Linked DNA regions of Cricetulus griseus. Each later gene encodes a partner of the first gene's protein in a complex. Links are inferred from orthologs where the notes say so. Each region holds a gene or a part of one and is shown on either strand. Other genes may lie near its edges. The genes, in order: Tgfbr1, Gdf11 and Tgfb3.

Region 1 (9,979 bases):
TTTAATTATATGTATGTGAGTGTATCTGTGTGTGGGTATCCCTGAGTACAGGTGCCCAAGGAAGCCAGTTGCATAGGTTCTCCTGGTGATGGAGTTATAGGCAGTTGTGAGCTGCCCCAATAGGGTGCTGGGAACTGAACTCTGATCTCAAGAACAATATGCACGTTTTTTTTGTTGTTGTTGTTGTTGTTTTTGTTTTTTGAGACAGAGTTTCTCTGTGTAGCTTTGGCGCCTATCCTGGCACTCGAAACCAGGCTGGCCTCGAACTCACAGCAATCAGCCTGCCCTTGCCTCCCGAGTGCTGGTATTAAAGTCGTGCACCACCAATGCCCGGCCTCAGTATGCGTTCTTAACTGCTGAATCATCTCTCCAGCCTCTTCTTGCTCTCATTGTATGTACAGCCTCTTCCCTCTTCTTCCCTGGTTGGATACCTCAGGAAATCTCCCTGTCCTGCCCTGTTCTCTATCTGTTGTAGTTTTGAACTTTCAGAACTTTCAGAGCACAGTTACAGTTAACAGAGATGCACATGAGCTAGTAGTGTACCCATACCAAGAAAAAGACTTTAGGAAATTCAGGAAGAACAGTTCAAAAAAGAAAAAAGAAAAGAAAAGAAAAAAACTAATCAGTATTCTTTGGAAATACCAAGAAATAACTTTGCATGTGGCTAAAAAGATGACTCAGAGCCCAGGTTCAACTCTTAGTACCCACATGGTGGTTCACGATTGCCTGTAACTCCAGTTCCAGGGGATCCAGTACCCTTTTCTGGCCTCCATGAGCACCGGGCACACAAGTGGTAAAACACTTTCATGCAGGCAAAACACCCAAACATAAAATAAAATGAAAAATAAAGGATTCTCCAGATTCTGTAGTTCTGTCTTTTTTCTTGATCTTATCTTCCCCCTCCCCCTGCCCCTCTATAGATCTTATTTTATGTTTTCTTTTGTTTATAGCTATTAGGGATCAGCATATTTTAAGTTCTCATGTGCCAAACATTGTATTACCTACTTTAAAAAGAAATCTAGTTCTGTATTCTCTTTGACATCCTAAGAGTCTTCAAAGTTGTTTGGTGTTGTATAAAAGAAGCATAACCCCATTGAGAAACTTGTCTGAGGCCATGGAATCAATAGCATACAGATCCTAGATTGCTGCCTGGGTCAGTATGACTTGTTTTAGTTAGTTTTTTAATGCTGTGGTAAAATACCATGACCAAAACCAAAATGGGGACTTCAGGGTTTGTTTCAGCATGCATATCACAATCATTGTCCACATGAAAGGAAGTCAGAGTAGAAACTGGAGGCAGGAGCTGAAACAGAGGCCATGAAGGAATGCTTTTTTTTACTGGCTTGCCTCTCCATGGCTGGCTCAGCCTACTTTCTTTTAGCACCCAGGACAAGCGTAGGGGTGGCACTGCCCTTAGGTGAATGCCACTGCTCCCTCCTTCCCCCCCATCATTCATCAGGCTCATCTACAAGCCAACTTAGTGGGGACATTTTCTCAGTTGAGATTCCTTCTTCCCAAATGACTCTAGCTTATGTCAGGTTGACATAAAACTAACTGTATATGACTTAAGGGTATATCTTTTACTGAATTGTGCTGTCTCTTGTTTTCACTTCTCAGTTAAATAGCATTTAACTAGCATCCTTGCTGTTACTCCTTTGAGAAAACACATTTCAGATGCATGTATCAGCTTACCAAGGAACTCTTAGTACCCACATTCCACTTTGTGTAGGTTCCAAATCACTTTGTGTAAAATGAGGCTCAGTCTTAGTCTTTTCAGCCTTCTCTTCTGACACTTCAGTTCCTGTCTCAGCATCAGAGGTACCACTATTTTTGTTTATCTGAGGTAGCAACATTGAAATTATAATCAACTAAATAACATCTCTGAGAACTCTACAGTCTGTCGCTAAAGCTTGTCAATTCTCACCAAAGTTTTCTCACAAGCTATATTCCATCTATGCTGAGACTGTGCTGGGCTCCCTGGATGTTTCTCATTCCTACTCCCTGCTGCCCTTCTTCCTCCATAAGCAAACAATGAACACTAATCTGACCCAGGTACCTTTCTAGGCTCCAGAAGCCCCAACTCTGCTACTCTGTAGGATGAAGAAATCAACATTGTTGGAATATGATTCCTTTGCTCTTAAATTATTTATCCTTGCTGTGTCTCAAGAATATGGGGTATATTCTGAGGGTCGAATATATGCACATAACAGTGTATAAAATTGAATATAAGAATGTGGAAGAAATTCGTGCAAACTTAAGGTGACATCATATTGCAGTTGTGTGATCAAGATTGATAGTGAAAAGTGATAACAGCCTGAGTAGGCTCTAAGTGCTTTGCAGCCCAACTGAAATGTGTGTTCTGATTTGCAGACAATGGCACATGGACTCAGCTGTGGCTGGTGTCGGATTACCATGAGCATGGGTCCCTTTTTGATTACTTGAATAGATACACTGTTACAGTGGAAGGGATGATCAAACTTGCTCTGTCCACAGCAAGTGGTCTTGCCCATCTTCACATGGAGATTGTTGGTACCCAAGGTAACTTTCTATAATTCCTGTTATTTATGCTTAAGTTCCTGTGAATATAATACGTATTCAAAACTTGAAACCTAACTGGAAATGTGTAGCTTTTAAAAATTTGAATGGTTTTCCAATGAAAATCTCAGAAGTCTGGAGATTTACTTAGAGATCAACAAACAAACAACTTTTTCACCTTAGTTTTTTAGTTCTTAGATTTATATTGTCTGAAGGTTTAAACAAAACTTCATCCCTTTTGACACAGTGATTCACTGAGGTTAGTAGTAGTTCTTATAGTTGTTATAGTTGATGTAGCTCAAGTGCCTTCATCCTGGGACAGGCTAAGCTTTGAGATCTAAAAGTAAATTGTGATTGGTGTCACTTGTTAAGCAGTCATGTCTAACTTTTGGTTTCCAATAGGAAAGCCAGCTATTGCTCACAGAGATTTGAAATCAAAGAATATCTTGGTGAAGAAGAATGGAACCTGTTGTATTGCAGACTTGGGATTGGCTGTGAGACATGATTCTGCCACAGATACAATTGATATTGCTCCAAACCATAGAGTAGGCACTAAAAGGTACACTTAGGAATCAATGGTGTTTAGTAATGCCTTATGTCAACTTCTTTTCTTTCCTATCTCTTCAGAAACTCAAACTTGGTCCTTTATTAGACTGTTGACACGCTTTTAGAGTCTTTGCTACTTTGAAACCTCGTTACCTAACTTAAAAATGAACCTGTTGATAGAGCAACCCTTCTAGAAAGTATTATCATTAACTAGGTTAATTGTAAGAGCAATAATGTCTTAGTTAGGGTTTCTATTGCTGTGAAGAGACACCATGACCACAGAAACTCTTATAAAGGAAAATATTTAATTGTGATGGTTCGCTTACAGTTCAGAGGTTCAGTCCATTATTTTCATGATGGGACATAGTGGTGTACAGGCAGACATGGTGCTAGAGATTTACATCTTGATATACAGACAGTAATAAGTGGTCTGTTTCACTGGGTATGGCTCGAGCATATATGAGAACTTAAAGCCCTCCTCACAGTGACACACGTCTCCAACAAGACCACATCAACTCCAACAAGGCTATACAACCTAATAGTGCCATTCCTTTTAGGGGTCATTTTCTGTCAAACTACCACAAATAATAACTAATAGTCATCTATAACTTGCTATAGTTTCTACTGTAGTAAGCCTGTTTTCATATTTTCTGTTGTCTTTCTTCCTTAGAACGTTTGTGTATGCTGCCCTTAAAACATACATCCCCCTTAATAGCACTCCTGACTCAAGGAAGCCTTTTTTGGTCCCCAGGACCCTTACATGTTCCTGGCATAGCACAATGATAAATGACTATTTGAGGGAGGCATTTACTTAACTGTTCTCACATTATATTCTAACTGACCATTTATGTGTCTGGGTCTGTGTATTCCATTGGATTGCAAGAAGCTTAAGAGCAGTTTTATGTTCCAGGTACTTGTTGAAATGCCAAATACACTTTTATATTTGCATTCATGCGTTCTCAAAAGAACTTCCATAGATAGGTGTCGTTACTATTAATTCAACCACCTTGTTGGTTAAATAAAGTAACCCACTTCATGTGGCTGACAAGCTGATATGGACTCAAAGTCTTACTGTGTTTAAAAAGCACTCACAACCTTTCTTCACAGCTAATGTCTTGAACTTGGAGAAAGCCAGCAGCTTTAGTCAATCCAAATATAATTACACTTTCTGGGTTCCAGGGGGACTGGCTGAGGGAGCCTCAGTAGTGGTCTGAAGGACCTGTAGCTGTAGTAGGATTTTAGAAACTATAGAGCTGGGCAGTGGTGGTGCACAACTTGATTTCCTGTACTTGGAGGGCAGAGGCAGGCCGACTTCTGAGTTTGAAGCCAGCCTGGTCTACAGAGAAACAGGACAGCCAAGGATACACAGAGAAACCCTGTCTCCAAAAACAAACAAACAAAAAAGAAACAAACTTCAGAACCCAGTAATTGGTAATGTAGCATCATCATGACTGACATTCCTTTTATCTGTTTGTCCCTTTCTTCTTTCCTGTTTTTTTTTTTTTTTTTTCTGTTTTGGTGAGGAGGCTTCCAGATTAAAATATGTAGTCCCTAAATAGTAGATGAGGGTGATGTACATTAGGGTATTGGTAACAGCCACAGCTGTTCAGTGTGTGCCTTTTATAAACCTTCATCAGAAGGCAGATGGCATGGAGCTGCCATTTCAGCATTTCATGAGATTTAGTCAACATCATTAATTTGCAAACCAGTTTAGATACTTAATATTTGCTTGAGCCTGATATGATCTCAGTTATGTGATAGTTTTGTGCATGTTTAAGGAGGTCTGACCCATGTTAACACTTGTGGTAAGGGGGTGATTTTTTTTTCACCTTGTACTTTATATACTTGGGAAGTTTTTTTTTTTTTTAATAGGAAGAGTGAATCATTTTTAAAAACAGAACTATAATAAAAAGAGAAGTTTTCTTGGTGTGATAGTGTACACCTTTAATCCAGACCCTTGGGAAGCAGAGGTAGGTGTTTTTTTTAGCAGCTTAGTATATATAGTAACTTTTCACGGGGGCTTCATAGTGAGACCCCATGTGTCTTTTTACCAGAAGTAAAAGACAGTGTATGAGACAGTAATTAATATGTTTTGTAGTGGACTGAAATGCTGGCTTCTTTTTTAGGTACATGGCCCCTGAAGTCCTAGATGATTCCATAAACATGAAACACTTTGAATCCTTCAAACGTGCTGACATCTATGCAATGGGCTTAGTGTTCTGGGAAATTGCTCGGCGCTGTTCCATTGGTGGTAAATCGCTCTCCTTTCCCCAGTTATCTGTCATGAGAAATTAGTCAAGAGTTTTCTTTTCTCTTGACTGAAATTTTACTGTCAGCAGTCTGACAGGTGACCACTGAGAATGTCACAGGAACAAAAGATAAACCTCACCAACACACAGCTTTTATCCAGAGTCATGTTCTGTTGCTATTTAGTCTCAGAGAGTGTCAGAACCTAGCTTCTTGTTATTTTGGATTTAGTTGTTTGAAAGGCCACCTGAGAAATTGCTTTTAGTATGGACTCAGCTACATCTTTTTTTTTTTTTTTTTTAACACTGGTTGTTTTCTCCAGCTTGATTGTTGAGGATCCTTAGACATATAATGACAATTGCATTATTAATGTTGCGTACTTTGTAGATTTTGTTTTAACTTTTGGTTTTATATTAGACTGAGAACTTGTCAGTGTTTGCTCAGACACTGTCTCTTAGGCTTAGGAATCTGTGTGAGACTTAGAACTTGAAAGTTTGAGACAGTGATGTATAGAGTATGCTTGGTGTTATAGCATAGGACATCAGATTAACAGGCACAAGCAGAGGAAGGGACTTGTGGGATTCACATCTCCTAATAAGAGTATATCCGCATCTTCTGTCTGGTGGAGTTGTAGTCAAGAGTGTCAGCCTGGTTATCACAGCACACTAGGTTCAAAATGGCCTTGATTTCTTTTCCATTGCTGTAGTACAATGCTCCGGCAAAGGCATTCTAAGGGAGGAAGGGCCCGTGGTTCCAAGTTACAGCTACCATAGAGGGAAGTCACAGTGGCAGAAGCTTGAGGGAGCTGGTCACATGACATCCACAGTCAAGCAGCAGAGAGCAGTGAGTGCATGCTGGTGCTCGGCTTGCTTTCTCTATTTATACACTCCAGGATCCCTTGCCTATGAAGTAGTACTGCCCATAGTTAAGATGTGTCCTCCCAATCAAAATAATCCCTCACAGGCATGCCCACGGGTCTGTCTTCCAGGTGATTGGTAGATTTTGTCAAGTTGACAACACTATCCTTCACAAAAATTGCAAGCCCAGTGATGACTCAAGTAGGTGGGTTATTGATGCAGATGTGGGTGAGATACATAAATTTGTGAACCTCACTTCACCTACTGGATGTAGAGATGGGCCACAGTAATGAGCCTCTCAAGTAATCCTTCCAGTGATGTGGCAGGAGCTGATTAATTTGGATTTTGTTTTAACCAATACAGGAATTCATGAAGACTATCAGCTGCCTTATTATGATCTTGTACCTTCTGATCCATCAGTTGAAGAAATGAGAAAAGTAGTTTGTGAACAGAAGTTAAGGCCAAATATTCCCAACAGATGGCAGAGCTGTGAAGTGAGTGTTTCCTTTTGATACTAGGCTATTTACTAAACTGTTTCTACTTAGGAGGCAGAAATTTGTCACTCTTCTATAAGGAAAAATTCTTGGTTTCTTTTTCTTTTTCATAAACAAATAAGTAAAAATAGAATAATTTGTTTCTTGAGACTATAAAAAGGGCCATGAAACATTTGCAGTGGTCAGTGGTGTCTGGACATTGTTAGATCTGCCATATGAAGTCAAGTGCCTGCTGTTGAAATGAATGCCTCCCTTTAGCCAATGTAGCCCAAGCACTATGACAAACACTGGGCAAGAATGTAGAGGACTGTCAATGCAGGCTTGGGTCCTTTCAGACTCAGATGTGGGCAGGCTGCATCAGTTCTCTGGAGCTTAGCACCCTTTGTAAGGTGAGGAGCTTCAGTACGGTCTTGCAGAGCTTCAGATGTATGACCTGTATTCCTAGGATTCAGTAGGACTACTCCTCAGGAGGGAGGGAGGGGGTACTTTCCAACAGTCTGGGTACAGGTTCTATTGACAGCTGTTACTAGGATGATAGTGCAGCAGGATGTGCCTTCCAGACTTGATGTTTTGTAGATGAACTTTCAGAAAAAGAAAGAAGAGTTGGACACCTCAGAAGTTCTCCACTGACATCAGTGTGCTCCCTCAGGTGTGACTGAGTTGGTAGAGTGCAAGATTGGCATACCTGAGGTCCAGGGATTGCTCCCCAATACCACTTTAAGGCAGGGTAGTGGTACACAGGTCTTTTAGTCCAGTATTCCAGAGGTAAAAGCAGGAAGAACAGGAATTCGAACTTAACTTCAGCCAGCTTCTGGCCAACCTGGGCTTCATGAAACCCTGTCTCAAAATAGCAACAATGTTAGAGCTCTTCATGGGGCCCCAAGGAATTATACCACGGTGGTATTTTGTGATTTTAGAAGTCCCTCACGTACTTTTGTAATTTCTACAAAGTTCTACTGTTTATTGTTGGAAAAATACCAAACATAAACATTCCTAGAAAAAATGTCCAGGTAGGACACATGCCCAAATGTTAATGCATGGGGAAAGCAAGCCTAAAGAGAAAGGCTGCTTTCCTTTTCCTTAAGATTTTCTTAGAGTAAAAAAAAAAATTTGTACGACACCTCAAGCAAAATGTAATGTGTAGACCCAGAGAGGAGCAAGCTGAGTGTGTTCAGGATCTTCATGTGATAGAACTTGACAGATGAGGGTGTGCTTTGGGTAAAATTATCTCTGGGTACTTGAGAACTCGGACTTGAAGTACACACACACACACACACACACACACACACACACACACACACACACACACACACACACATATTTAATAACTGAAGCAGTTAAAGACAGATGGCCTTTAGGCAGGAAGAAATTGGTTAACATTAAGAACATGTACAGTGCACAGTTACCATTACAGTATGCTGATTAATGCCATCATTGTATGTTATTTTCTCAATATGGTTACTAGTTTTCTGTGTACTTATTGCTATTTCAAATGACTAAGCGGTTAAGAGCACTGGCTGCTCTCCCAGAAGACTGGGGTTCTGTTCCCAGCACCAACAGGGCAGCTCACAGCTGTCTGTAACTCCTCTTCCAGGGGATCTAATTCCCACATAAAGACATACTTGCAGGCAAAACACCAATGAATATAAAATAAAAATAAATTATAAAAGCCTTCATTGAAACATGTAAGAGTATGGAACTGGCTAAGCTTGCTGGCATAGGCCTCTAATCCTAGCTGATCAGGAAGCCAGCAGGAAGGTCACAAGTTCAAGTCTTGCCTGGGCTATAGAGCCAGCCTTGGTAATATAGTGATAGAGATAGTCTTTCTTGGATAAAAACCCTCAAGCCTTGTGCTGGGATGGTGGCTAACGGACTCCTAGCTGTGAAATGTTGGAGTGGACAAGTGCTGGGGTTCCAGTACTTCTTCCTACTTTCCACCCTCAGTTGTCTCTAAAGTACTTAAAAATGAGTTAAGTTCTCACCCAGTGTCTAAGGTAGCAGTGTGGGTCATTTCTTTGGCTCAGTGCTGATTCAGGATTCAGCCTTTTGAGATCTAAGAAAGCTCCCCTGTCCAAAGCCTTTCCAGCTGCTGGCATCTGGATATTGATGGAACCTTAAATCTGCATTTGCTACTACAAAGCTAGAATAGGAACCTTATACATATTTTTTTTTTTTACAAAGTCTTAGAGGGATGTTCTTCCTAGATTAATGGCAAATGGTATGTATGTATTAATTATTTTTCTTATATTTTCTTGTAGGCCTTGAGAGTGATGGCTAAAATTATGAGAGAATGTTGGTATGCCAATGGAGCAGCTAGGCTGACAGCTTTGCGAATTAAAAAAACATTGTCACAGCTCAGCCAACAGGAAGGCATCAAAATGTAACCGAAGCTTCGAGGGAACTCTGCTCTCTTCATATCTGCTCCTGGGTGTGTTTGGGAGGCCGGTTGTTCTACCTCACTGAGAACGAACGGAGGATGCTGCTTCCTCGTGCTGCAGTGGAATGTGGTTAATTGAGAGCTTCCCAGGGTTCCTCTGGGCCCAGAGGCAGCCACAGGGATCCTTTGCGTGCACTATGGATGCTTCTTCCCAGGACAGTTACAGAATGTTGTCTAGTCTACTTTTGTTTTTATTAACAAAGCTTGTTTTTAGAAGATGACTGCTGGCCCTTTAGGGAGCTGCTGTGCTGATGGTCATCCGTGAGGTGAAGGAGCTGGAGTGTCTGTCAGCTTAGATGAAGAAGCACTTGTGATTTTCACTCCTGATTAGTACATTCTCAGAGGACTCTGAACCACTAGTTTCCTTGATTCACTTTGAATGTACTGTTTTATAGTTTTTCAGGATCTTAACCTAACACCTAAAACTCTATAGTCTAAAAAAATGACCTCATGTAGGCGTGAGGGGCACAATTGATGCAGTTGTATTTATGTATGGCTCCTGCTCCTTCACACTCGGAACACAACATGCCTTCAAAGTGGGGTTGTGCTACACCAGTAAGTGCCACTTTTGCCTCTTTCTAAATGGAAATGAACAGAACTGCTTAAAGTCTGTGTTAAGTCCTGTATCATTTTCATCCAAAAAGTTTATTTTTTTGAGTAACCTAAATCTTTTCTGGGTCATTTTTGTTTTTTTAAGAGTTTGTGTGGTAGATGTCACTCAGTATTTATCTTTCTCCTACCCAAATGTGCTTGAACCACTGAGGCAATGCAGTAGCATCAATAAGCAGTCACTGGTCATGTGGGAACACCCCACATCGAGCTTTGGAGCTTTGCAGTTGAGATATGTTTTCTGAGTTTATTTT
Region 2 (9,926 bases), on another chromosome or scaffold:
TAGAAGCGTAGAAATCTAAAGTGTGACTAGATGTCAAAGATGTTAAGTATTGTTACCTAGATCATTGAACAACTGGTGTTTTTGCTCAGTGCTGGGGATCAAACAGGGCCTCATACCTGCTGGATAAGCACGTAACTACTGCACAGTGGTCCCAGCCATGCCTGCACTTTCCTTTCTCTTACTTCTCTTAAGTCATATATAGATCTGAAACCTGCTAGTTAGCCTGTTTGATATGTTAATATAAGTCCCTTCCCCACATCCCTTTTTTTCCTCATGGTTTTTGAGACAGATCTTACTGTAACCTGGCATGGGGACATGCTGTGTAGCCCAGAAAAGAGGTCTTGAATCAGATCAGCCTCCTTAGCATTCTTAGAACTGTGATTACAGGCAAGTACCTGTACACATCTGCCTTGGGTTTCTCATTTTAATCTCTATATTTCCAGATCAGTAAGTGCTTGGTTTGGGTGATTTCTTTGGGAAGATCATAAAAGTTCCATGACTTGAAAACTTTGCTACCATAATTAAATCTTGCATTTCTATGATGTAAATCTTTGTCCTTATTTCTCCCCAACTTTAGCTGGGTCTGTAATCAATAGAAAGTTAACCTTTCTAACATTTCAGTCTTGTACCATGAAGCATGTGTGCCTGTAATCACAACACTTATGGGGCACCGTCGGCTGGGTCACTGCAAACTCAAGGCCAGCTGGTTGGCTACCAGCTCCTAAGACAGGTGGGAACCTAAGTGTAGACAATAAGGGAAACATCACTGGTGCCTTGGCGAATGTGCAAAGGTTGCCCATTTATTATTGTGAAATTTGTCTCCTCTGAGACCTTAGGAAAACGGAACAGGAAAAAAAGTTGATTAAACTTGTCACCTCTTCAGCCAAATAAATGATGTAATTGGATGAGTTTCTCTTCCCATCATTCTCCTCTATTAGCCCCGCCTTCTCTTTTTACACAAGTCTATAAATAACCTCCAGTTACTTTTTTTCCTCTCCATGGGGGTCTTCATCTGAAAACCACAAGAATGCTGTTTTGTATTAGGAGACAAGAGTATAGGTTCATTAGGATTTATATTCCAGAATGACTATAAATAAATAATTGATTTATTATTATTTATTATTGAAGTAGATTCTTTCAATGCTGGTAATAGAATGTGTGGGGGGGCTTCAATGTGGGGTATGTTTTTTTGAGACAAGGTATCTATGTAGGTAGCCCTGGCTGGCCTGTAACTCCCTACTTAGACCAGACTGGCCTCAAATTCACAAGAGATTTACCTGCCTCTGTCTTCTGAATGTTGGTATTAAAGTCACTCCTGGTACATGTGGTTTTTTTGTTTGTTTGTTTTGATTTTTTGAGACAGGATTTCTTTCTGTTGCCCTGGCTATCCTGAAACTTGCTCTGTAGACCAGGCTGGCTGTGAATTCAGAGATCTGTCATGCCCAATCCAAACCCTCACCCCCACCTTGTGCTGGATTTAGAGGTGTGTGCCACCACAGCCCAGCTCTGATCTTTATCTCTCTATCCTCCGTAACCTTGCAGAGACATACTCAGGTTAACCCAGGGTTCTCTCTGCTCTTCCCACACCCCTCTTTTTTTTTTTTTTTTTTTTTTTTTTTTTTGGTTTTTCGAGACAGGGTTTCTCTGTGTAGCTTTGGAGCCTATCCTGGCACTCGCTGTGGAGACCAGGCTGGCCTCGAACTCATAGAGATCCGCCTGCCTCTGCCTCCTAAGTGCTGGGATTAAAGGTGTCCGCCATCAACGCCCGGCCCCACACCCCTCATTTTTGAGACAGTGTCTCACTTTGTAGTCCAGGCTGGTTCTAAACTCACAGCATCCTTTAACATCAGCCTCCTGAGTGCTAGGATTATTAATAGTAATGGAATTACTACCACACCTGGCTAAGATTCTTGTTGTGGTTTTACTTTTATGGGTGTGTGATGTATTCATGTGTTCATGTGGTGGGTATGTGTACCTGTTGAAGCTGGTGATCCTCATCAGATTTCTTCCTTGATGGCTCACCATTTAATTTATTGAGACAGGGCCCCTTACTGAGCTCATTGATTTAGCTCGGCTGGATACAGACAAATGCTACTAGACCTAGCTTTTTATGTGGGCACTGAGGCTCCAAACTCAGGATCTTTATACTTGAGCATCAGGCATTTACTGACTCACCCCAGGTCTTCTTGTAAGGTATATTCATTGTTTTAGTTTGCTTTACTCAAATCTTAAACCAAAAAATAGGGCCTCAAGGTTCACCTGCTTCTGTCTATTGAATGCTGAAATTAAAGGTGTATACCACCACTTTTGGCTTTATTTTGATTAGCCCTTTTTGTTCCATTTCTGGATTCTCCTAAGCCTGAACATCCTTTTCTGTGTCCTTTTAGTCATTCCACACAGTTATCTCGAGTAGATCAGAGTGCCTTTTTTTTTTTTTTTTTTTTTTTTTGTTTTTTGAGACAGGGTTTCTCTGAGTAGCTTTGGAGCCTATCTGGCACTTGCTCTGGAGACCAGGCTGGTCTCGAACTCACAGAGATCCGCCTGCCTCTGCCTCTCGAGTGCTGGGATTAAAGGTGTGCACCACCAACACCCCGCTCAGATTGCCCAAATTTTTACTGAGTATTTGAAACCTAAGTCCATTTTGTTTGGCTAGACAGACATCTGGGTTTGGGACCCAGGCACCATCCTTCTCCCAGTCCTGATGGAGCATCGATATTCCCCAGAAGCTTTTAAGGGGTCTGGTCTGTGCAAGCCTCAGTGAGGATTGGATTCCTTAGCTATAAAGCTATACCTTTTTATGGTTCTGCCAGCTCTGAGAACTGCTTAAGGTAGAAAGAATGCTCAAAGGGTCATGGGTGAATGCTATAGGAAGGAAGGTACAAGAGTCTTTGAGACTTGTTAGTCTGATGTGAGAAACGGGGAGGAGGGAATTGAGATAGTTGAGACGGTGACTTTTTCTTTTCTTTTCTTTTCTTTTTTTTTTTTTTTTTTTTTTTTTTTGAGACAGTGTCTCTGTGTAGCCTTGGCTATCCTGGAGCTCCCTCTGTTGACCAGGCTGGCCAAGAACTCAGTGATCCTCCTGCCTCTGCCTTCCGAGTGTTGGGACTAAAGGTGTGTGCCACCATGCTCAACTAGAATAAGTTGGTTGTTGGTTTTGTTTTTAGAGACAAGGTTTCTTTGTGTAGCCTTGGCATTCTAGAACTAGCTCTGTAGACCAGGCTGGCTTTGAACTACATGTAAGTTTTTCTTAACTGCTCTTTTGTACAAGGCCTCTGATAAACAGTGGTACTTACTTCCTGTTTATTAAGCCCTCCAAAATCTAACCTCCCTTTTCTTTTTTTCTTCTTGAAACAAAGTCTCTTATAGCCCAGGCTGGCCTCAGATGAGCTATGAAGCAAGCTGAGGGGTGGCCTTGAATTTCTGGATCTTTCTGCTTCTTACTCCATAGGACTTGGATTACAGGCCTGTGCCAACATGCCTGGTTTCATGAGATGCTGGGCAGGAACTCTATGTATGTTTGGCAAACATTCTTATTATCTGTGCTACATCCCCATCACTAAAGTCACTTTTTTTTTTCTCTTGAAAGACTTTGGAAAAGGTTCTGTACCCTGCCAAACCCTTTGGATCCAAGGTGTTTCTCAATTTTTTCACTTTCTGTTGTCCCTGAATTCAGTTTTCCACCTCTTAATATCTTTTAACAACAGATGAAACAGATTAAAACATTATTGCATGTGAACTACCTGGGTTTGATTCCTTGCTCTACCTTCTACTTCTGGATCATCCTGATTTGGCAAATTACTTAATGGCTCTGTGACTCTTTCCAAACTATTGTGATTTAAATATAGTAAGATTTAAATGACATTATCATGTGCTTAGCACACATTCCTGATGTAGTTTACATAGTAGTCTTTTTTTTTTTTTTTTTTACTTTTTCCTATAGTTTATATAACCAAACAAAGTTTTTCAAAAATATGGAACGCTTCACGAATTGGCGTGTCATCCACGTGCAGGGGGCATGCTAATCTTCTCTGTATTGTTTCAATTTTAGTATATGTGCTGCCAAAGCAAGCACAACATAAAATCTTCCAGTGAGTATTAGCTCTGAAGTTTACTAGAGTAAAATTGAAATCTAGGGTAAGTAGGAACCCCCTGCCCCAACAAGTAGGTTCCAGCTAATGGATGGGGGTAGGGTGTTGAGTGGGTTAATCTTGGCCTCTGTATACATATTGGCATTGTATATATAAATGCTTACTCAATGCTTATGCAGTCTGGCTTCTTTTGGGGGGTTGCAGGTGGGTGAAACTGAGGAGAGGCCCAGGCATTGCCCCCTTTAGTCTAGCTCAGGAAAGCTTTGACAGAGAGAGCTAATGGGCAGAGAAGCACCTAACTGTAATGGGGAGCGGCCAGCTTGATTTTGGTAATACTGTTGAGGCAGCCAGGATTAGAGGACTGAAAAGCAAGAGACTCTTTGCTAGATCATTTCAATGCTTAGATTCTTCATTCTGTGGGGGACTAGATGTTGTCATAATTTTTGGGACTGCCGTCTCCCTTTCCCAGCCTCTGTCCATCTTCAGTCTGTGTGTCCCTGTCATCATTCCCCATGCCCTTAGGGTTCCCTGTTTTGCCCCATGGACCTCATCTTCTTAGTCCTTTTTCCTTAAAAAGGTTCTCTGAGAGCCTCTTTAGTTCTTAGTCTCCCTGGTATAAACGTGACGCTCAATCAGGGAGAAGAACCCACTGCTCAACTCTAAACTCTTTGACTGCTTTTATTTTTCTTTTTTCAGGTTCAAGTGCTGGATTGTGTTATGTGACTCTCCCAAAACTCAGAGCACCCTATGGCCATCTTTGCCCTCTGTCACATAACTCTGATGGCCTTTTTGCAATGGTTCCTTCCTGGAAACCTTGATGTCAGTGAAGTCCTTTCCTAGCATTCCAGTGCCCCTGTCAGCCCGTACTCCTCAAACACCCTTAACAAACAAAGGCAATCACACACATGATGTAACAAATACACAAAGTAAAGAATTACACTAACAATGATACTTTAGGAGGAGCACTGGCCAGTCCACACAGGTAAGGTGTAGGAAGTGCCAGTCCCACTGAACTGCTAGGCCATGTCCTCAAGCCTCTTAGGGGATAAAAAGACCAGGAGACTTAACTCAGGTTTGTATTCATAAGAGAACTCTTTCCCTCTGGAAAGGTATTTACTTGGTGGTAATAAAGAGGCAATATTTAAAGTTTAATGCCCCAGCTCTCTAAACTATAGAGATTACCTGATACCTAATTATCCCACCCTTACCTTTTCCAAGATCAAGAGGCATTTGACCTTGGAGGAAAGCATCTTCTCTCTGCTTTTCTATTCCTCTCCTCCACTAAGGAAGTGTGGTTGGTGTTGATGGTCAAATGTGTCTTGTTCTTTAAGATGGAGTAGACAAAAAGAATGAAGAAGGGGACCAGAGAGGAGAGGCTTGGGACTGACAGCCTCTACATGGGAAGTGAGTTGAAAGGCTTAACAATCCTTGTCCATTCCTCGTAGGAGACATCTTACCTCCTTTTCTCACTATGAGAATAGGAGTTAAGTGCCAAGGATAGTCACATACCTTTGTCCTTCCTATGGTCTGGCCCAAGTGAGAGAAACATGCTCTTAGGAAGCACAGACCTTCCTGGCCAGGGTTCAGTTCAGTACTTTCTCTACCATAAAGGCTGGCTCTACTCATGACCATTTTGCCACTTCCACTCCTGAACCCTCTTTAAGACTCTTGTCTGGAGCCAAGAGGCCACTGGTGAGGTATGGTTAGGGTGTGGAGATTTTCAACTCCTTGGCTTCAGGCATTGTCCAGCAGAGAGGCAGGGGGGACTTGTGCTCTGCAGCCTGTGACTCCTCTAAGCCTCACGTCTCTTCACCACCATGGTGGTGCCCTGGTTATCTAGTCCCACAGCGAGAGGTATTTTATGTCCATAAAGTGCCCGTGGTAAGTGCTCAGAATTCATCTCTTGACTGTGGCGGGTGCTGTTGTTTCTCATTCCATCAAGGGGAAGAAACGGAGGCACAGTGAGTCCAGAGGAGGGTGGGTCAGGATTGTGGGAGGAACGGATGGGCCCAGTTAGTGACATGAAGTAGCAGCTAATCGCTTGCCTGCTTCCTAAACCTTCCAAACCACGGATTCTCCATCCTCCCATCCTCTGTTGTAACTGGCCTTGTCACATGCCTGTACTGTCCCCTCCCTGCTGTCAGGTACTGCTATATTCCAAAAATAAAAGATAAAATTATAGACACTCTGCTCCCTTGTTCTCCCTTCTTCCACCCTGAGCTTTGGGGTAGGGGGACTAAAATGTCCCCCTTCAGAATCCCTTCCACCTTGGTCTCCTGGCTCTGTTCCCTAGCCTAGAGCAGTGATTTGGATTCAGATGCCCTGTAACCTTCAGCCTCTTTACTATTTTCTTGACCCTTAACCCTTCCCAGACCTGGGGGACTCTGGGATTTCTAATTTTTATTGACCTGAAGATAGAGGCTGAGAGCAGGGGCATTCCACAGGCTCTTTGGTCTCTTGGCTGAGGGGAATTTGGGAATAAGCAGGCTGTACCCCCTGGCTAAATACCGAGATTAAGGTAGGTGGCCTGGGGGGTAGTTTAGTAGTTCTCATAGTTCCTGGATGTTGAGGTTCCCCTCCCCCCAGCTCTTAAGTCTGAACTTCTTTCTGTTTCCATGACCACTCAGCTCAACCCATTTGGCTCAAGAAGGTTGGTTAGGGTGATTATGGGTTAGAAGCTTCCATGTGTTAGCCCTCTTGCCCTTTACTCCCATTCCCAACCCTGGAGGCTTAATACAAGTGCTTAAGTAGGTTGGTATGCGGGAGAGCAGGGTTTGTGGAGTAAGGGCCAATGGGGCACAGTGGGCAGGGTCCCTCCCATTCCAGTAAAGCCAAATACCAAAAAAAAAAAAAAAAAAAAAAAAAAAAAATTAAGTCACAATAAATAAATAAATAAAAAACTCCCAGGTCCTTTGCCCCATGCTCATTCCACTTCTGGCTGCTGTTGGAAGGAGAGAAAGAAGCTAGGAATGGACTTGATTTACTCCTACTGAGTTGTCAGGGGAACTCCCCAAACTATACTAAGCCTCGCCTTGCTGGTAGAAAAAAAGGAGGCTTGAGGCAGGACTCTCATTTTTCTTCCATTTCAGTCTCTTTCTCCTCGTCTATCTTCACCTACTCTTATCTTCAGCCTCTATTCCTTTGCTTTCTCAGTGTTGCTCTGTTTGTTCCTCCCTCTCTCTCTATCATTCTTCCTCTGTCTCTATACCTGTCTTCTTGCCAAACCTTCTCACCTGCAAATCTCAGATACATTCCACCCTGACTGCCCTTCCTTTCTCCCAACCCTCACCCCTCCATCCCCACCTGCCTCCCTCTGTTGTATTGCACACTGCTTGGTCAGGGAACAAGGTGTGGTGTTCACGGGAAGAGGTGGAGGGCGCTCTAGGGCTTGGGGGAATGGGGACCAGGGCTGGGGTTCTTGGGGTAGGGTCTATGAGGGAGGCATCCACTGTAGCCCACACCTTAGGAGCAGCCACAGTGATCCACCACCATGCCAGGGATCTTGCCGTAGATAATCTGCTGCTTGTCATTGAAGTAAAGCATGTTGATTGGGGACATCTTGGTAGGGGTGCAGCAGGGCCCAGCAGAGCCTCTTGGATTGGCCTGTTGCACCAAATGGGTGTGTGGATACTTTTGCATGAACATGTACTCGCACTGGCCGGAGCAGTAGTTGGCCTTGTAGCGTTTAGGTGCGATGATCCAGTCCCAGCCAAAAGCCTCAAAGTCCACCGTGAGTGGGTATCGGCAGCAGCGGGACTCACTTGAGTGCTCATCGCAGTCCAGGCCTAGGTTCCTCCGCGACCTTTTTGTGTTCTCTAGGACTCGAAGCTCCATGAAAGGATGCTGGGGGTCAGGGAGAGGGGAAAGAGATGTGACATAGCCCTGAACAGTTTCTCTTTCCTATCTGCATCTCAAAAGGAGCATCAGATCAGAAACCATTGACATCTTTGTGTGTTCACTGCTCCCACCCACAGACCAACCTACCCACTCCTTTTGCCATCTAGCTATCTCTTCTGTTCCCTTTCCCTAATTTTTCCTTTCCTGGCAATGTGACCTCATGAGATCCTTGGCCCAGGGCCAGGATCATCAAGGGCCAGGTTTTTTGTTTTGATTTAAGATACTGATCTCACATAGCTCAAGCTGGCCTCCTTAGTGCTAGGATTAGATAACACCCCACCCAGACAAGGGTCAGTTTTGTGTTCCCACGGGTCTCCCACTAACACCTACACCCCAAATCAAGTTTCAGTTTTCAGCTGTATCCTGGCTTAAAACCATGAAAAGTGATAGTTTGCCACCCCACCTCCACCTACAGAATTAGTTCCTGGCCCCAATTCCATATTTCTGATCTACTTTTTCTAACCCCCATCTCCTACACACACCACCACTACAGGCCCCCTGCTCACCAGCCCCTCAGCTCCTGGCCCAAGGGAAGTGACAGCCAGATCTGTGCCACTGGGATCAAAGGCGTTGATCTCGATGCCCCAGTTGCTCTGTGGCTGGCGAAACCAGCTGTGTAGCACTTGCTTGAAGTCGATGCTCTGCCAGTGGCCGGAACGTGAGTGTAGCTCAATCTTTAGTGAACGGATACGGATGTGCCGCCTGCCTCCACCCCCTCCCCCTGCAGTCCCTTCCCCAGTTAGGGGTTTCAGTCGCAAGATCTGCAGGTAGACTGTGGCTGGACGTGGCACAGGCCGAAGGTACACCCACAGCTGGGCCTTCAGTACCTTTGTGAACATCACCTTGGGGCTGAAGTGGAAATGGCAACAGAGAGGGCTGCCATCTGTCTGCACTGCAGGGTCCGCTGATAAAGAGAGAAGGGGGCACAGCATCAGCAAAGGGTGTTTGTGGAAGGGTTTAGCAGCCCTGGGTGGCCTTAGCAGATTCTTCTCAGCCTGTTTTCCAGATCTCCTGTGCCTGTCTGGTTAGCTACTATGTCTCTCGTACCTAAGATCTCATCTCTAGGATGATAAATTTGTTAGGGCCTTACTGATCTATATTCATTCCCTATACCATTTCTCCTAACACAGAGGATCCATCTACCAAATGACCTGCTACGGTGGTTACCAAGTCTCCCTCACCTGAAGCCTTTTCTGCCTCTGGTGCTGCTCAAGTGGTCTCTAGTTTTTTCTTTACTCTACCTTTCTTTACTATACTATATGTCCTCAAGTTTCCTTTCCCCATTTCTTCCTGGTTTGTCTAGTGAGCAGGTGGAGCCTGGCAGCACTCCCCAACCCCCCACCAAAAAAAAAAAAAAAAAAGCAAAGGAAGCATCAGAGGAAATAGCCCAGGGTTCAGAGAGGTGGAGTGTGGGCTAAATTTATAAAGTAAACCAGAATTCAGATCTAGGCTCCCTATTCCCAGTAGCACACCTTACAGAATGGAACTACCAAGCCTTCCCTGTGTGTCTGACTCCTCAGTCGTCTCTCCACTGCTGCTTCCTCACTGCCAGCTAAGACACTCAACTCAGCTTCTGGGGGAAAGAAAGACCGTGAAGTGTCCTACTTGTCCAAAGCATCAGGAAGAACACTTAACACACCACGTCAATCCTTTTAACATTGAGTTCCCTTTGTTTGCTCAGCCAGGTGCCTCTTTGTCTTTTCGAAGGTTACCTTTTGGCCCTTTTCCCTTGCTCAAGATCTTAAAGGTTCTCAAGGATGGTTCTCAATATATCCCTCTACTTCTATTCCAGCTCCTCTCAGTTTTCCTTAAGCTCTTTTCAGTCTTTGTTTTGAGACAGAGTTTTGTTATGTGTCCTTGGCTGTTCTGGAACTCACTAAGTGGCCCATGCTGGCCTCAGCTCACAGCAGTCGTGTTCCCCCCCCCCCCATCTTACCGAGT
Region 3 (9,836 bases), on another chromosome or scaffold:
TAATAAACCCCACCACTGCCAACTCTGAGGTTTGTTTTTCTCTGGAACCTTCAGTTCACACGTAGGCAAATTCTGCCACCCCTCCCTTCCCTCAGGGGAAGTAGCTGAGGCCTTTGTTCACAAGCCTCCTCAAGAGTTCATGGCCTCAAACCAGGCTGCAAACAGACTCCAAGTTGGAGCAGCTGATGGTGTGGATTGATGAAGCCTGAGTCACACCTGTAGTCTGGGAGTCACTCAGGAAGCATCTGCAAGCCGGTGTGCTCCAGGTACCCAGGCTGAGGCCCAGGGCTGCCTGGAGCTCTCTCCAGGACAGGGGGAATCAGGTCCTTCCACCAGTGTGCCATGACTCATATGGCCCACAGTTTATCGGCATACAGAGCCAGGCTGGCAGGATGTACCCAGTGTCAGGCTGGCATGGTAAGGAAGCACAGGCATTTTGCCTCTCAGTGAATGGAGGATCATTGTATCTACAGTGCCTTTTGTTGTTTGTTCTTTGGCCATGACAACTAGGTGTGTAGTATCTCAGCTGGGAATGGTGGCACAAACAGTAATTCCAGCACTAGACTGAGGCAGGAGGATCAACCACTTCCAGGCTGGTCTGGTCTGTATAGTGAGCCCTAGTTTACAGCAAACAAAAAGTATAGTGTGGGCTCTCTCACCGGAGCTCACAGCTCTCTCTCCTGACCTTGAAATGACTACTCGCTGTGGGTGTCTTGGGTAAACTACTTAATATCCCTAACTGCAGTGACCTCCACTGTACAATGAGCTAATGATGTTTCTAGTTGATAGGAGTTTTTGTTTGTTTGTTTGGTTGGTTGGTTGGTTGGTTTTTCGAGACAGGGTTTCTCTGTGTAGCTTTGGAGCTTATCCTGGCACTCGCTCTGGAGACCAGGCTGGCCTCGAACTCACAGAGATCCACCTGCCTCTGCTTCCTGGGTGCTGGGATTAAAGGCGTGCGCCACCAACGCCCAGCTATAGGAGTTTTTTGTTTTGTTTTTTGATACAGGGCTTCTCTGTGTACCCCTGTCTGTCCTGGAACTCGCTCTGTAGTCCAGGCTGGTATTGAATTCACAGAGATCCTCTGCCTCTGCCTCCCGAGTGCTGGTAAAGGCCTGCACTGCCACCAACCTGCAGTTTATAGGATTATTATAGACTAAATGAACTATTGCTGATAAATTCTTAGAGCAGTTTGGCTGAAAGTAATGTCAACAAATGTTGGTAATTGTCATCACCTCTGAGCCCTCTACCTAAAGAGAGAGCCGTAGGCCAAGTTAGGCCACTGTCTCATGCTGGCCACACACACTCTGACCTTTCCTTTTCCAACATGCCCATATGCACTTTCACTTTCTAACACCCAGAATCGTAGAACTTGCTCACTCTAGGTCTCTTCCGCCCCACCTTGCACATCCTTGAACAGGAAGTGCTGTGTGTTGCTTATTGCAGCTACCATGGCTTCTTCCAGCTTCCTAACACCAAGAAGAGGGCAGACGTCATGCCTGGTCATGTCTCCTCTATTGTCCCTCAGCTGCCTGGCTATACCGACTTGTCTCCATGACTGAGCAGACCTGGAACAGAGACCTTCAAGCTTAACAGCTGCCCTTGAAGTTCTCTTTGGGACAGAATAAGGAGAACTGGTTGGACATTGGGGTTTATGGAGGAAGTGAGTTAGTTCCTCACCATTTTGTCTGAGTTCATGTCATCTGGATCCTTGGGATGCCAGGCTCACCACCATGGTGACTGGAATCACCCTGCCCATACCAGTTTTGCCTGGGAGAAGGGTACTGAACCAAATGGATTTTGGGGTGTTCTCTGATGACAGTAGACTTTAGGCAGACATCAGTTGGTCCCGAGACCAGATGACTGTTAAGGTGACTTCAGGGAACAGTAAGCCAATTGTCTCACTGAGATGTTCACCTGGAAAGGTCCATCTTTTGTGATCTCTGTTACAACAGCCACAGCTAGCTGCTGCCCTAGGATGCACAGAGCTCTAACCCACCAGGATTGACACTATACCAGCCTGGTTTTCTCTGTGACTATTTGATTCGGTCAGACTTTTTAGTTACTTTGTGTACATGTATTTGTGTGTGTATACATGCAAGTGTGTGCATGTGTCTGTACATACATGTAGAAGCCAGAGGTCAACCCCCTCTGCTGTTCTCAGGATAGCCATCCACATTGATTTTTTTTTTTTTTTTTTTTTTTTGGGAGACAGTCTCTCATTGGGATCTGAGGCTCACCAAGTGGCTCCCCAATTCTGGGATTACAAGCATGCATTACCACTCCTGGCTTTTTACATGGGTTCTGGGAATTGAACTCAGGTCTGAATGCTTGTGTAGCAGGCCCTTTAAAGACTGAACTATTGTCCATGCCTTCATTTCCTTCTGTTTTTCTTTCTCTCTTTACTTCACCCGACCCCTTTTCTCAAAGTGTTGCTTCGATTTTGTTTACCAAAACATCAGCCCACAGCCAAGAGGAGAAAAGGCCTGAGTTGGCCCTTTGGAACTCAACATCAACAAAGCCCAGCACCTCTAGGTTTCCCCAAGTTCGTTCGGTTGAACTCAGGTCATCTGGACCCTTGAGCATAGCTCTCTAGAGCCACTGCTGATAGACTGACCATTCTGTGTTCACACCTGTGTCCCCATGCAGCCATCCAGTCCCAACCTCCCATCGTGGTGACAGGCTTCTCAAAGAAACTCCCAAGTCATTTTTATCTCACTAAATCTTATTCCTTAGAGAAAATATGACCAAGTATAACCACAGTTTGCCTCGTACATCCTCTGGCATAACTACTTTCTTAATCTCCACGGTGATGGCAGCAATATTGACATTATTTACAAGAACCCTGAATCTCGAGTAGTGTAACTTCTAGCATTGATTTCTGATTCCCTCACCCCGACCCTTGTCACTCCCACCCGTCTCCCCCACCCCTGACACTCAGCTTTCCATTTTGTGGCCTTTAAATACCTCTCTGCCGATAGGTTCCTTAGTTACTCACCTTAGGCCCTGCCCCCAATCCCTGGTTCTTCTATCCTATTCTGCAGACTGACTCAAATACCTGTTCTCCCAGAAGACACCTAGCCGGTGTGAGCTTTTCCTTTCCTTCTTGTGTCATTGCACTTTGTTTGGTTTTTCAAGACAGGTTTCTCTGTGTAACAGCCCTGGCTGTTGTGGAACTCGTTCTGTAGACCAGCCTGGCCTGGATCTCAGAGATCCTCCGCCTCTGCCTCCCAAGTACTGGGATTAAAGGCGTGCGCCACCAACGCCCTGTGTGCCCTTGCACTTTTACCCCATGTTTGTAGGCAACAATCTCTTTATAGTATCCTTTGAAAATGGGTGACTATTTCTATCTGCCTCCAATATGCCTGCTACTAGTCGTTCATAATGTAACAGAAATACACAAGACTGTGGCACCCTGTGCAGGAGGTTCACTCTGGGGTTTGGAAGCAATTTCTGTCACCCGTGACTCTTACTATAACTCACTTCTCACCCTTGCCCAGATGGTGGGTGTGCTGCCTTGTCACTCAGTGTTTTCCCCCTGACTCTGGGCCTTATTTTGCAGAGTCCAACTTGGGTCTGGAAATCAGCATTCACTGTCCATGTCACACCTTTCAGCCCAATGGAGACATACTGGAAAATGTTCACGAGGTGATGGAAATCAAATTCAAAGGTAATGATGCTGAGGTGTGGTGGGATGAGGAAATGGATAAAACAATAGGGGACCCCTTAGAGAACCCAAGGAAAAGGACCAATTTCCCTCATAGAGATGGCCGTTTGGTGCTTGGGTGATTTTTGCTTAGCCCTCAAAGCCCTGAGTATGGCCCGAGTTCCTCTTGGACAGAATACATTAGCATCTAAGAGGCAGCAGGATTCTAGGGAGTGATGAAATCACACAGGCCAGCTGTCCAGGGAACTAGGACAAGAGCACCTCTTTCATAAGCTCGGCACACAAAATGAGGTAATAAATACACACCGCTAAGCCAATGCATGCTCAACCAATGAGCTATCTTCCCCTCTCCTCAAGGAAATGAACTCCAGTGGGCCTGAACATGAGTGCCCTGACTCCCTGAGCTTTCAGATGCTGCTGGACCTTCTTGGTCCTTGCCCAAGAATTATCTGAATTAAGACGGTTGATTGCCCGCTTGAGTGTTTGACCACATGCGTTTATATAGCATTGGCATGATAGTTGACAGGCTTTACAATCTCAATGTCTAATATAAGTGCATTTTTTTTCTGGGGTTCAGGGAAACTCTCTTTTCCTTTTGTGTCTCCATTTTGGGCAACTGAGAAATGCAGTGGTCAGGCCATTTGCCAGAAAGTGAACACTGCTCTTGGCCTAGCGTAGATCTTGGGCCTGGACCTCAGCAATCCCTTACTCTGAATGGGCCCCACCTCAAACGGGACAGGGGACTACACAACTAGGGTTCCTATTCATCTTATATACACGAAAGCCCCTCCCTAAGATCCAAGTTCCTCGTGTAAATTACATTTCTGGAGCTCCTGCCCTGGTAAGGATGGTCAGCAGCCAGCGGCTGTCCTTCACAAACGAGATTCCCCAGTAGAACAATAATTCTAATTTAGGCTTCTCCTTTTCAGCTGAATTTGGGCTCTCTTCCCAAGCCTGTCTTACGCTCTATTACCTCATCTGAATGTTACAGTGAAAACACCCCTGACCCTCTAAGCCCCAGGTGACAATGGCAACAGCTCCTATGTCTGGTTTCTTTGGCTCCCACACAGGCTATCTCAAACTGTGACACTGTCAATTCTCGATGGGACTTCTGTGGTATCTTGACAAATTCAGACTCTAGCAGGAAACCCAGAGTCTCAGAATGACTCTCAGAATCTAGTGGCAGCCCCAAAGTGTGTGATAGGTGCCCATCTAGTGGTGGGAGATACTTCACAGCTCCATGAGGGAGCCCCGGATGCAGCCATCTCAGGAAGGGCAAGGCACTCTTGTGCAGAGTTGTGACGGCATCTGGAAGGGTATCCATGGTAACCTTGAGTACTACTGATGCTGGTTGCTCCACTCAGTCTGTGCCTTCTCATGGGGTGGGGGATGGAGAGGGAGGGGACTTGTCCTGTGTCCTCCTCCTTCATAGACTGTGCCATCCATCATCCTGACTGGGCAGTGATAGGCTGAGACAGGGTGTGGAAGCAGCCTGCAAGGACACTACTTATCTTAGACAGAAGGCTGTGGCCTTGCTTCCCTTTATAGGAGTGGACAATGAAGATGACCATGGCCGGGGAGACCTGGGGCGCCTCAAGAAGCAGAAGGATCACCACAACCCTCACCTGATCCTCATGATGATCCCTCCACACCGACTGGACAGTCCAGGCCAGGGCGGCCAGAGGAAGAAGCGGGCCCTGGATACCAATTACTGCTTCCGGTGAGCCTTGGCCCTATAGGGAGTGAGGTCAACCTTCCCTCCTGTGGCACTGGCTTGAGATCTGAGCCCATTGAGCCAAGGGTCTCCAGTAGTTTTCACAGATGTGCCTAGGAAAGAAGACTGGAAATCTCTTCCAAACCTCTTTGTTTTTCTGGGATCCCAGAATTTTCTGTAGCCTGGCTCTGCTCAGGTCTGGATAAAGTAATGGAGGAGGAGAATCTGGGATGTTGGCACTGGCGATGCCTGGGGAAAGCCTCCTCATGGTCTTCCTGCCTGAAGTGCTAGCAAGGTGTGTTTATATAGGGCTGGGGGTGGGGCGCGAGGGGGAGACTAATGCAGGAGTCCCCTGAAAAAGAGTTTGGTTCTCTATTGTCTTTCTTTCCCGTTACTGCGATAAAATAGTCACCAAACATTAGCGTTAAGAGAGAAAGCTTATTTTAGCTCACATTTCCAGATTATGTCCATCACGGAGGGGACATCAGGGTATCAGGGGCTTGAAGCAGCTGCTCTCATTATATTCAGCCGAAGAGGAGAAAATTGAATGCTACTTTCTCCCACTCCCCTGCCTAGGGAATGGTCCTGCCCACGGGGGTGGGTCTCCCCTCCTCAATTGATGTGATCGAGATAATCCCCGCAGGCATGCCCAGAGCCCTTCTCGCAGGTGATGGTGGATTATTTCAAGCTGACAGTTAACAGGATCCATCACATCTATGCAGGGTTGGAGGATGCTACTGGATGGGCAATGTAGGATGTCTCCATTCATGGGGGAGCTCTTGAATTATAGATATTACCAATGGCTTCAGAAGGGACCTGCCTTCAGAAGCTGCTCCTGCTTGCTTGCTTGCTTCCTTCCTTCCTTCTTTCCTTCCTTCCTCTTCCTCTCTCTTTCTCTTTTTCTTCCTCCTCCTCCGGCTCTTCCTTCTACCCCCTCCCCCACAACAGGGTTTCTCTGTGTAGCCCTGGCTGTCCTAAACTCCCACTTTAGACCAGGCTGGCCTTGAACTCACAGAGATCTGCCTGCCTCTGCCTCCCGAGTGCTGGGATTAAAGGCATGCGCCACCACTGCCACCGCCTAGCCTGCTGCTTCTCTTCTTTATAAACAGCTGGACTGCTCACAGATGTGGGAGGGATGAGGGAGCCTACATACCCAGGGCTAACAGGAAGAAATGACATTGGGAGGGGGTCTGACGGATCTTGCACACTGGGACCTGGGGGTGCATCCATGGACACAGGAAAGGCTGGAGTTGGGCAAAGGATGGGTGAGGTTTGGATGTATAGGGATCCAAGAGCAGGGTTGGGGGGTGGCACCTCCAGGGAAAGGAGCAGCAGAAAGGGTCAATTGGCCAGAGAAGATGCCTGAATGGAGTTGGGGTGGGACAACTAAATATACTGTTAGAGATGGCCAGCTCAGGAAACAATGGGAGAGGTGGTGTGTGCTTGCCACCACCCATTCCAAGGCTGGCTGTAGGTTTGCTCCATGTATCTATTTGTCAGCCAGGATGAATGCACTTAGCTGTGGACAACAGTAACTTCAGCCCTAGGGGATTTCTTGTGGCAGACTTGAGGTTGGTCTAGCTGCTTGATTTTGCCCTTGGAAGAGATAGACATTCTGATCTCTCCTGGTTTGCCTAGTGTGCCGACTCTTCAGCTTCTTGCCTGTGGTCATGGGGCTTTCTAGAACACCAGGTGACTTGTTTGTGCTTAAGAATAAAGGGAGGGAAAAACCAACAGCCTTCCTGTCCCAGCTGTTATTTTTCTAAATAACCAAGTATTTTTGCCAGAACTTGTCCTACTCCCTGCCAACTTCTTTAGTTCTGACTGGCCATTAATCAGGTCACATGACCACCCCTGCCTTCAAGGGTGGCCAGGAAATTGAGTATCCCTGGAATGGAAGGAGTCATAGAAGAATTGGGTTAGGAATGGTTATTTAAAAGGTAAACAATGGAGTCTATCATGGTTTGGTCTTTTTTGTTTGTTTTGTTTGAGACAGGGTTTCTCTGTAATAGTCCTGGCTGTCCTGGAACTCACTCTATAGACCAGGAGGCCTCAAACTCACAGAGATCCACCTGCCTCTGCTTCCCAAGTACTGGGACTAAAGACATGCACCACAATGCCCAGCTATGTTTTAGTCTTAAAATCTATAAGAAATCAGATTTTGGCCAAAGTTGCCTTAGGAAGCAGTGACTTCATGTTGTCTTCAGAAACTTGTTGAAGCTCACGGTATTGCCCAGACTGAGGAGGGATTGCTAAGTGAATTTCTGCAGACAACAGGATTGGAGGGGCCTGATAGCCCCTTTCAGGTTCCCAGGGAGTCATTGTTGTAACCAAACACACTTGAACCAGGGATTTGGTGGACTAGGGTTACCTCCTATGATGGCAGTAGTACTTACGGCAAGGAGAAATAGAAAGATATATGTTAACTTTTTGTAGTCAGTCTCTCTCTCTTTTTGTTTATTTCCTATACATGTTTTTATTGTAGCAACTTGGAGGAGAACTGCTGTGTCCGCCCCCTCTACATTGACTTCCGGCAGGATCTGGGCTGGAAATGGGTCCACGAACCTAAGGGTTACTATGCCAACTTCTGCTCAGGCCCTTGCCCGTACCTCCGCAGTGCAGACACAACCCATAGCACGGTATGGAGCAGGGTGCATGCTCTCTGGGCACTGGGGCACCACTGACTAGGCTACTTATCCCTAGGAGTGAATGAAAAGACTGAATCTTGAGTGATAATATTGGATGAGCAAAACCCCTGTAATAACATTCAGATCTTGGCAGGCTGGCCCAGTTCTACTCAGTCACACTCTGAAATCTAAACTCCTACCGCAGGGGCTAGCACACTGGTAAAAAGTATGCTTAGCATGTGCAATGCTCTGGATTCAGTCTCTAGCACACATACTTAGATGGACATGCACACAGACACACATGGACACACATGCAGAGTTCCTACTATAATTTCAAGCATCCCTTTTATTTCCTTTGTACCGTGGAAGTTATTCAACTGTCACATGCCACTTTGTGTCATAGATGTGCACACCTGGCTGGCCGGATGTGGGGCCCAGAGAGGTTTCCATCTCTGTTAAGACAGCTTAAAGCACTTAGGAAACAATAGCAAGAGAAAGAGTGGAGGGTCCATACCTCTGCAACCTGCCTTCCTCCAGGGGGACAGAGAGCAGGGCAGTCATCTGGGAAGCCCATTTTCAGATAGCACACTGCTGCTGCCTCCTGTCTGGGGCACGCATTCTGGCAATTAACAAATGTGCCTAGGCAGTGGTGAGTGAGAACATTTTCCACCAACGTGGAAACTTAGAGTAACCAATACCTTTTGCTTAGCAGCCAAGAGTTTTTTATCAATTGCAAATCCCCAGCAATGTGGCAGTCTGCCTCTGCCCCACTGGATGACTGCAACTAGTCTCTCATCCAAACTGTTCCCACAATGCATCTTAAACAGCCTCCATGACCACTCTGCTACATGCTCACTCAGAACAGCTCCCCTTCCACCAGAAGTCACAGTTTTTTGGGTACAGGCTCAAGGCTTGGTTGTCTTTTGCTAAATATGTGACTCCATCCATAGGTGCTGGGACTGTACAATACCCTGAACCCGGAGGCATCGGCTTCTCCGTGCTGTGTGCCGCAGGACCTGGAGCCCCTGACCATCCTGTACTATGTTGGCAGGACCCCCAAGGTGGAGCAGCTGTCCAACATGGTGGTGAAGTCGTGCAAGTGCAGCTGAGGCCAGCCTGCGACAGAGGAAGGAAGACTGCCACCACTGGCTGCGGCTCCTTGGGAAACCAAAGTGACAGACCTCAGTCTAGAGGCCTGGAGCCCACGAGCCCTGGCTCCTGGCAAACGGCCGAGAGGGAGGCTTCCTTCTGGAACATTTCTTTCTGCTAGCTCTGAGAATCACTGTGGTAAAGAAAGTGTGGGTTGGTTAGGGGAAGGCAAACTCTTGAGAACATGGAATTTCTGTGGTGCAGACAGAGGTGGTGGGGTAGAGAAGGGATGGTGAGCCCACAGGGTGTGGGGTAATGGGACTCGTTAGGGCTACCCTAGGGAGGACATGGGGTCGAGTGGCGGCTAGGTGAGGGCCAGACTGGAAGGCACTTGAGATCTGAGGTCAGCTTTGCCCATTCAAGTACCACATCTGCTCTAGGGGATCGGGATGTCGTTAGAGGTGGCAAGCATTTTTCTTCAGACAGGTCACCAAGACGAAGTCCCCCAGAATCATCTTTTGCACTGCCTGGGACGAAGGACACTCTGTTCTTTTTGCAGACTGCCCTCTCATGCCAATTAGCATCATCATGAGTCATGACAAATAATGCAATTAGTTTCTGGGCTAGCAACTAGCTATCTCGGATCCTCTGGAGATGCGCAATTCAAAAGCCAAGGTCAGAATTTGTTCTCTCGTGTCTTCCCTCGGGGCCTCTCCTTTCGCCTTCTTCCTTGGTCATATTT

What was found.
Region 2: the proteins of Tgfbr1 (region 1) and Gdf11 are in contact, whole or in part, in a crystal structure (PDB 6MAC), measured with the Homo sapiens proteins. The link is inferred for Cricetulus griseus from reciprocal best matches to the Homo sapiens genes TGFBR1 and GDF11. Residues at the interface, in NP_004603.1 of Homo sapiens: Ile78, Pro79, Asp81, Arg82, Phe84, Ala87, Pro88, Ser89, Ser90, Lys91; in NP_005802.1 of Homo sapiens: Phe322, Ala324, Phe325, Gly326, Trp327, Trp329, Ile330, Met382, Tyr384, Phe385, Asn386, Asp387, Ile392, Ile396, Pro397, Met399.
Region 3: the proteins of Tgfbr1 (region 1) and Tgfb3 are in contact, whole or in part, in a crystal structure (PDB 9B9F), measured with the Homo sapiens proteins. The link is inferred for Cricetulus griseus from reciprocal best matches to the Homo sapiens genes TGFBR1 and TGFB3. Residues at the interface, in NP_004603.1 of Homo sapiens: His39, Leu40, Thr42, Lys43, Phe55, Met70, Ile78, Phe84, Val85, Lys91; in NP_001316868.1 of Homo sapiens: Ala301, Leu302, Asp303, Asn305, Tyr306, Tyr350, Leu351, Ser353, Thr357, Thr360, Leu364, Leu368.

What each region holds. Positions count from the first base shown.
Region 1 is NC_048595.1:96,010,640-96,020,618, reverse strand, and holds part of Tgfbr1 (TGF-beta receptor type-1), read left to right. Parts: intron 1-2,370; coding exon 2,371-2,538; intron 2,539-2,937; coding exon 2,938-3,094; intron 3,095-5,207; coding exon 5,208-5,332; intron 5,333-6,548; coding exon 6,549-6,679; intron 6,680-8,937; coding exon 8,938-9,063; 3' UTR 9,064-9,979. UniProt on the Homo sapiens protein: Transmembrane serine/threonine kinase forming with the TGF-beta type II serine/threonine kinase receptor, TGFBR2, the non-promiscuous receptor for the TGF-beta cytokines TGFB1, TGFB2 and TGFB3.
Region 2 is NW_023276806.1:129,037,670-129,047,595, reverse strand, and holds the end of Gdf11 (growth/differentiation factor 11), read right to left. Parts: intron 8,890-9,926; coding exon 8,492-8,889; intron 7,932-8,491; coding exon 7,551-7,931; 3' UTR 4,742-7,550; downstream 1-4,741. UniProt on the Homo sapiens protein: Secreted signal that acts globally to regulate anterior/posterior axial patterning during development. May play critical roles in patterning both mesodermal and neural tissues. It is required for proper vertebral patterning and orofacial development.
Region 3 is NC_048598.1:117,738,835-117,748,670, forward strand, and holds part of Tgfb3 (transforming growth factor beta-3 proprotein), read left to right. Parts: intron 1-3,559; coding exon 3,560-3,667; intron 3,668-5,212; coding exon 5,213-5,384; intron 5,385-7,863; coding exon 7,864-8,017; intron 8,018-8,955; coding exon 8,956-9,114; 3' UTR 9,115-9,836. UniProt on the Homo sapiens protein: Transforming growth factor beta-3 proprotein: Precursor of the Latency-associated peptide (LAP) and Transforming growth factor beta-3 (TGF-beta-3) chains, which constitute the regulatory and active subunit of TGF-beta-3, respectively.